Linked DNA regions of Macaca fascicularis. The protein of the gene in region 2 interacts with the protein of the main gene of each other region in a pairwise test. Links are inferred from orthologs where the notes say so. Each region holds a gene or a part of one and is shown on either strand. Other genes may lie near its edges.

Region 1 (3,743 bases), on a different chromosome or scaffold from region 2:
CAAACATGAAGCCCCCATGTAGCTGAAGGAGGGCTGCTGATTCCAAGACATAGAGATAATTTATTCAAGGATAGTCCCTATCCTCCAGGAGTTCACAATTCAGCACTAGACACCCTGTGGGACCCAGCCTGACAAGTGCAACGAGTGAGATGCCAGAATTGAGTCCTGCGGTCGAACAGAGGGACTACAGGGCAATGCACTGGGCGTGGGAGGTCGAGATGGCTCTGGGAAAGGATCATTCATTTATTCCACAAACACTTATCAATCACCATAGCACACATAGCACATAGGAAGCGCTCAATATCTGTTATTAAATGCCAGCCACTGTGCTAGGTGCCAGGATGCAACAGCGGACAATAAAATTGCAGGGGCACGTGCCCTCGTGGGGCTTACCGTGTAGCGAAGGATGACAGGCAGTGGACGGAATTATGTAAAATTGTGCTAGATGCAGAGCAGGAAAATAACAGGCGGCTGAAATTCTAGTAAGGATGTGAGCCCCTTCGGCTGAGGGGAGCCGTGGGCGGGTTCTGAGCAGGAGTGGCCGTGAGGGAGACGGACCGTAGGGGGCGGGAAGACTGCAGGCAAGAGCTGGTAATTTTAAGATGCAAATAACATTTTTTTCTGCCTGACTGGAAGAGGAGCGTTTGGTCGCTCGGGATTCTCCCGGGGCAGGGGGCTGCATTTTTAGTGTAAAATCGGTTGCCCAGCAGTGCAGGGCATGTTGTGGTGAACTGCAGCCCTAGTTCCCAGGTTTTTCATGCTTGGCACATCGAGGCTCCTCGGCCCCCAGGACCAGCAGACTCCCCATGCGCGGCTCGGATTCGGGCCGGAGCAGGCGGGCAAGGGTGCTGGAGCGGGTGCACAGCAACGCTCACCCCTGGGTTTCGGGGTCTGCAACGCCGGGCGGGCAATAGGAGGCGGAGTTTGCGCTGCGGACCTAGGCGTTGGCGAGGGCCACGCCCCCAGCCGCAGACCCTGCCTCCAGGCCCCTTTGATTGGATCAAGACCGCGGAAGGGCCGGGCGTCCCCGGGCGGCCCGAGGGTCGGGCAGGGGAGGGTGCGCTGATTGGCCCGGCGGGGATTAAGTCATCGCTAGCAGGTTCGAGCGGCCCAGACGCCGGCGGGGCGGCCGAGGCTGCTGTGAGAGGGCGCTCGAGGCTGCCGAGAGCTAGCTAGCGAAGGAGGCGGGGAGGCGGCGTCTGCACTCGCTGGCCCGCTCGCTCGCTTCCAGGCGCCGCTGCGGGTCGGCGCTGCGTTTCCTGCTCGCGAACCACTCCGTTGCCCGCGCCGGGAGCAGCAGCCCCTCGGCCGGCTCCGGGCTCGGTTCGGGAGTCTTGCGTGCCGGCGGTCACCGCGCGGGGAGCGAGCTAGCGCCACACCTGTGGAGCCGGCGGCCGTCGGAGGAGCCGGTCGGGGTCCTGCCGCGTGCGTGCTCTGGGGAGCGGGCGGCCCGGGTCCCGGGGGAGGCGCGCCCCCGCGGCTGGGCGCCGCGGGCACTATGGGGCTCCCAGCTCTCGAGTTCAGCGACTGCTGCCTCGATAGCCCGCACTTCCGAGAGACGCTCAAGTCGCACGAAGCAGAGCTGGACAAGACCAACAAATTCATCAAGGAGCTCATCAAGGACGGGAAGTCACTCATAACAGCGCTCAAGAGTGAGTGTCCCGAGCCCCGCGGGGACGCGGCCCCGGGGCGGGAGGGACTGGGAGGTGGCGCTCAGCCCGGGTTGCCCGCGCATCCGCCGGGTTTCTGCTCCCGGTACACTGGGGGACCGGTGTCGACGCCTCCGAGGCAGGAAGGATACGTAAAGCGGGCGAACCCGCAACCATCAGATGAAGAGAGAGACCCGTCGCTCCGCCTTTTTGCGTTCGGGGATGGTCGGGAGGTGACCGAGCGCGGGTGGTGCTCTGGGGCACCGCGGGTGGGCGTGCGCGGCACGCAGGTGTCCCCAGGAGTGGGGCCAGAGTGCCCAGCGCGCCGCAGCCTGCGGGCAGATCCCATCGTGTCCACAGCTCCAGCTCCCTTAGGGGCAGAGTTGCTCAGCCTTGGGTGCCCAACCGTGAGAATGGAGCGTGCTCTGCCGAGGGGGCGCTGCCTCCCCTTGGGAAAAGGCGGGTTGTGACTGCTTCGCTCCCTGTACGCAGCTCCAGCCCAGTCAGGCCGCCGGGTTCCCTGGGTGGAATGCTTGGTTTTAGCTTGCGACTCCTTGGAGTATTGGCAGCCAGTAATCTCTAAATCTAGAATCAGTACGTGCGCAGGTTCTGATTCTTGTGTTTAGCAGAAGGTGATAGGGGTGGGAGTAGAGAATCAGAGTGTTCCTTTACTCTAAACTGTGGGCGAGGGTTTAAAAATAGAATGTGCATATCCCAACTCTCTCCCTCTCCTGCTCCCAAGCTCTCCCTTTTACCTCTCCCATTATCCTTGAAAACGTAAAGGTCTGAGAAGGAATGTCCATAGTCCTCAGAAAGAAGTTTAAACGTATTTCAAACATTCTTGGACCTTTTGTAAAACCATTTTTGCGTTTTTTCCTTTTGGTACAAGGGGAGAGATGCAATTTTGCATTCTGCTTCACTTTTGCAGAGCCAAAGAGTTTCTTTTTCTGGCCAAATAAGCGTGCTCTAGGGATGAGTGCTTTGGATTGTGAGAACGTTTTTGGTGCCTTTTCAGTCTCCCCATTTAAAAATAACTCAGTTCATCTTTTAGTTTTAAGAATCAGGAACCACATGAAGGCAGATAGTGGGATTGTCTCTGACTCTCTTACTTTATCTTTTTCTGTGATGGATTTGTTAGTAGGTGATACCTTTCAGCTAAGAAAGGTTGCCTTAGCAGAGTAGAGTCCTAGCTATGAGAATTGTTCCCAAGCCTCTTTAAAGGGCACTTACAAAAGTCAGGTGCCTGAGATGTCGTTTTGTCAGCTTGTTGCTTCTAAAAATGAAGAGAGAGACAATGGAATGCCAGGGCAGCTCAGAGTGCCTATCTTTTGGGATGAAATGAACACAGGACTGTGATGTGATGAGGCTTCTTAGAGGCGGATTCTCAGGCTGTGCCTTACCTGAAACATATGAACAGACTCTTCCTTTGTCAATGATCAAGGCCATTCTTGGTTTAGGGGACGTGGGTCCCTGGTTTGGAGTAAGTTGGGGGCCCACTCACAGGTTGGGCCCAGGAATTTTGATTGAACCTCAGGCTGGCTTTATTGGGTTCTCTGCTTCACTCAGCAAACTTTTGGTGTGCTTGTGGTGTATTGGGTACTGCAGTGGGCACTGCAGTGGGCACTGCACTGGGCACTAAGGGTGTAGCAGTGAATATTTTGCTACCCCTGTGCTTACAGAGGTGTACTTCATTCCAGGCACTCTTCACCTATAATTATCTCATGTGCTTAGATTCATTTTGCAAATGAGAAAACAGAGACTGGGGAAAACACTTCCTCTGAGTCACACAGCTCTAGCAGCAGGACTAGAGCTTTTGAATCCACCTGGTTTGAGCCAGTGATGGAGTCCCTGCCAATGCAGAGCTCTTATTTCTGCCCCATCTCACTTGCCCGGAATGGAACCTTTTGCACCAAGCCCTAGGATTTGGACTTGTGTTTTCTATTTTGGCATTGAATCTGAGGAGGGTGCCTTTGGGTGACTGGCAGTTTTCCTACTACTATTTTTTTGAGGGCAAGAATTCTTTGGTAGGAAGGAACATTGCAGTGATAGAGTTGAAGGGTTATTTAAGCTGTCTAATGGAATGGATCAGCCCTG
Region 2 (3,743 bases):
CCTCATTGGTCCGGTACACACAAGCCCAGATGTAGACTCAGCATAAAAGGCAAAGAGAGAAACTTGTCCAAGGTCACCCAGTGAGTAAGGGCAGGGTGGGAATTCAAGCCAGATGTGCCCACTCTCCTGTACACCCCACCCCCAGCCCCAGCCAGGGCTCACCAAAGGTGGCTCTTGCCAGTTCTTTGCCTCAGTTTTCATTCTGGACAGGGTGAGGGTGGGGGTGAGGGGGTTGGGAGGAGGGAGCAGGAAGGAGGAAGGAGGATGCAGGAGAAGCAGAGTCCAACTGCACCCCCACCACCAGCTGAGGCCCTTGCTCAGGAAACCCCACCCCAGGACCGGACACCCGGGTCAGTCGTACTGAGCCACAGAGGCCGGACATCTTGCCCCTCCCAGAGCACCTGGAGCTTAACAGGAAACAAACGAATAACTTTCCCATGGTAGAAATCCAGCTCAGCTTGCAAGGAGCTGGGGGGAGGGTGGGGACGCATGAGCACCCCGAGGTCTTGGAATCCCGTCATGCATTCATCAACCATGCCAGGCCTGGGGGCCATGCTGACAAACATGCAACTTGTCGCTCATTAGGAGAGAAGTCCTGGTGGGGCTGACTGGTGGGATGTGCCCAGAGCCTGGGCCAGGTCCTCCCCACACCCCCAACCCCATCACACAGCAGTGCCAAGACAGCCTGAGTGTTTCCACAACAAATTGGGCGTCCCTGACAGCTGTCTCACTCACAGCCAGATGTACACACCCAATTCCAGATGTGGGGAGAACTAAGGGTGAGGCCAGCATCAGCGACCCAGGGGAGAGCTGGGAATTACAACCCTCACACCGGAAGAATTCAGATTTGGCAACCGCAAGACCCTAGGATCCAGCCTGTCACGCACAGTTTCCCATTTTAATACTTCTAGCCACAGCATGGTGGGGTCATTACCGCCCTTTACAGAAGTCAAAGCTGAACCTCAGAGATGTTAAGTAACATTGGCGAGGTCATCCAGTTAGGAAGTGGAAGAGTGGGTACCCAGCCTGGTCCGTGTGGCTTCCATGCAGTGGGCCACGCCTACCTCCATAATATGGTTGGGGAGCGGGAGAGAAACAGCTAGGCTGGGAACAGTGGGTCCCCAGACCTCCTCCATCTACATTCTGACCTTTGGCTGCCCCCATCTGCCCAACTTTCATGTGTCTAGAGATATGAGAATGAGCTCTCCATCAGGACAGGGCTATGCGGGCTGGGAGGGGAGCTCCCTGCAGCAGTAGGGGAGCAGATAGGAGCATCCTAGCTCTCTGTGATTGCCCTGGACAGGAGCCCTGGACCTCCCAACGAGAAAATGACTTCCGGCAGGCAGGGATCCTCCAATCATGAGGAATATTAGGCCACCTCACACCCCCCTCCCCCCCAAATCAGGAGACTGTCCTTAAATCCGGCTCCACCTGGGACTTCCTCTGTAACCTTCAGGAAGACGCCTCTCCTCTCTGGGTCTCACCTTTCCCATCTATAAAATGGGCTGACAATGAAGCCACCACTAGAGGGCTACTGGAGATCCCACTGCAATATTGCAAATGAGAGCACCAGTGTACAACAGCGGGGTTCAGCGGGTTACTGTAGGTTCTATCATTCATTCAGCAAATATCTACAAGACCTTCCTTCCTCAAACACTTCGGTTCTCCGGGGCCAGTGCTTTGAACAATATAAAAAACGAACGGCTGCTGGCCCCAGGCATCCACCTCCTCCCGCCCTCCTAGACCTCGCGGATGCAGAGTCCCTCTAGCCGGCCGCGGGGTCTCCGGGGTCCCCGTGCCTCTGGAGAGGCGCTCGGCTCCGCGGCCGCCAGGTGGCGCGCGTGCTCCCTTGAGCGCCCCGTGTCCCGGAGGATTCCGAGAGCGCACCGGGGTCTCCAACGCCCCTCCCCCCGGGCTCCAGGCAGGCGCTCCCCAAGGAGCTGCGCGTTCAAGTACCAGACGGGGATTGCCTGCGAGATCTTTTTGCTTCGGGGTTTCTGGTCCCACAATCGGAGAAAAAGGAGGCGATTGGGGACCCTGCCCTAGTCTCTAAGCTCTGGGAGGAACCGCCCCCGTGCTTTCCGGCCTGGGCGATGTCCTAGTGTCCGCTTGGCGCAGGGCCAGAGCTCGGGCGTGCGGGCCCCCGCTCCTCCCACGGGTCCGGCTCCTTAGCTCCGGCTCGGGTTCCGGCGCCGACCCCTCCCCGTTCCTACCCGGGCGCAGCCCAGCCCAGCACGGATCCGTTTCAGGACACTCGCGGCCGCAGCTAAAGATAGGAGGACACCTCACCATCGGCTAAAAATATGGCCCCCAGCCCCGGTGGGGACGCTGGGCGGCGGGGCACCCCTGGGTCTCGGGAGGGGGGCGGGGGCCCGGGTACAGAATGGAGGGCAGAACGGGGAATTCGGGGTCGGGATGCGCGGCGCCCCACGGACCGTGGCGGGCACGGGCGAGGCTGCGGGCACCCACATGCAGGCGGGAAACCCATGGAGCCCTAGGCGCCCTCGAAAGGACCTGAGCGAGGTGAGAGGCAGGGCCAGGGCGCGAGCTGGGGCGGGGCGCCACAGAGATGGGCCTCTCGGGGGCGGGGGGGCCGCGGAGTTGCGAAAATCCAAGCCTGAACTCACCGTGAGGCAAGCAGACGGCGGACTGGCGGACAGCAAAGTCTCAGGAGCTGGACAGCGCGGCTGCGGAACCCGACGGGCGGTGAACTTACAGAGCCCCCCGCGGACCCCGCAGCCCCGCCCCGGCCCGCGGAGCCAATGCCTGGGCCGCGCCAGCCAAGCCCCTCCCCATCCCCGCCCAGGCCCCGCCCCACTCCGGGCACCGCCCGGGGCTCCGGGTGTGGGAGGTGCAGCTCCCGGGTCCAGCGGTCGCGCGCGCCCTGGGGTCCTGTCCTGGTTCGGGCGGCTGAGGTCCGTATGGCTCAGGGTGGCCTCCCGGGACTCCGGCTGCGCCCATGGGAACTAAAACCCTCGGTTTTAGAAAGGCCGAGAGACAGGCTCCCGGAAGACCGAATTCTTCAGAAATCGCAGAGAGACCTTGGACAGGATCCTTCCCTGCAGGGCTGGATCGGGGAGGCGCTGGCACAAGTATATTCAGTGACTTCCTGGGAATGAATGAGGCCTTGGAAGCGCCTACGTTAGAATACTACAAACTTGGCCGGGCGCGGTGGTTCAAGCCTGTAATCCCAGCACTTTGGGAGGCCGAGACGGGCGGATCACGAGGTCAGGAGATCGAGACCATCCTGGCTAACCCGGTGAAACCCCGTCTCTACTAAAAAATACAAAAAACTAGCCGGGCGAGGTGGCGGGCGCCTGTAGTCCCAGCTACTCGGGAGGCTGAGGCAGGAGAATGGCGTAAACCCGGGAGGCGGAGCTTGCAGTGAGCTGAGATCTGGCCACTGCACTCCAGCCTGGGCGACAGAGCGAGACTACAAAAAAAAAGAATACTACAAACTTACATACAAGCGAGTTGATGAGTTTACCTTCCGCGAGAAAAGAGAATATGGGAAGGCAGAGGCCGCGTGGCCTGGACCCCCGTCTTTGCTGTCAGGCTTCCAGAGTGAAGGTGGGGCTCATACTCAGACTAGTTCCTGGTCCATTCGTTCATTAAGTCAGTCAGTCATTCTTACAGGGCCAGAAACTTATTTTTTTTGAGACGGAGTTTCGCTCTTGTTGCCCAGGCTGGAGTGCGATGGCGTGAGGCTCACCGCAACCTCTGTCTCCTGGGTTCAAGAGATT

Evidence for each region.
Region 1: the proteins of CDC42EP2 (region 2) and ARHGAP26 interact in binary tests that used the Homo sapiens proteins (3 or more experiments, as listed by UniProt). The two-hybrid records come from large-scale screens. The link is inferred for Macaca fascicularis from reciprocal best matches to the Homo sapiens genes CDC42EP2 and ARHGAP26.

What each region holds. Positions count from the first base shown.
Region 1 is NC_088380.1:149,276,854-149,280,596, forward strand, and holds the start of ARHGAP26 (rho GTPase-activating protein 26), read left to right. Parts: upstream 1-1,112; 5' UTR 1,113-1,498; coding exon 1,499-1,652; intron 1,653-3,743. UniProt on the Homo sapiens protein: GTPase-activating protein for RHOA and CDC42. Facilitates mitochondrial quality control by promoting Parkin-mediated recruitment of autophagosomes to damaged mitochondria.
Region 2 is NC_088388.1:9,054,641-9,058,383, forward strand, and holds the start of CDC42EP2 (cdc42 effector protein 2), read right to left. Parts: upstream 2,686-3,743; 5' UTR 2,628-2,685; intron 1-2,627. UniProt on the Homo sapiens protein: Probably involved in the organization of the actin cytoskeleton. May act downstream of CDC42 to induce actin filament assembly leading to cell shape changes. Induces pseudopodia formation in fibroblasts in a CDC42-dependent manner.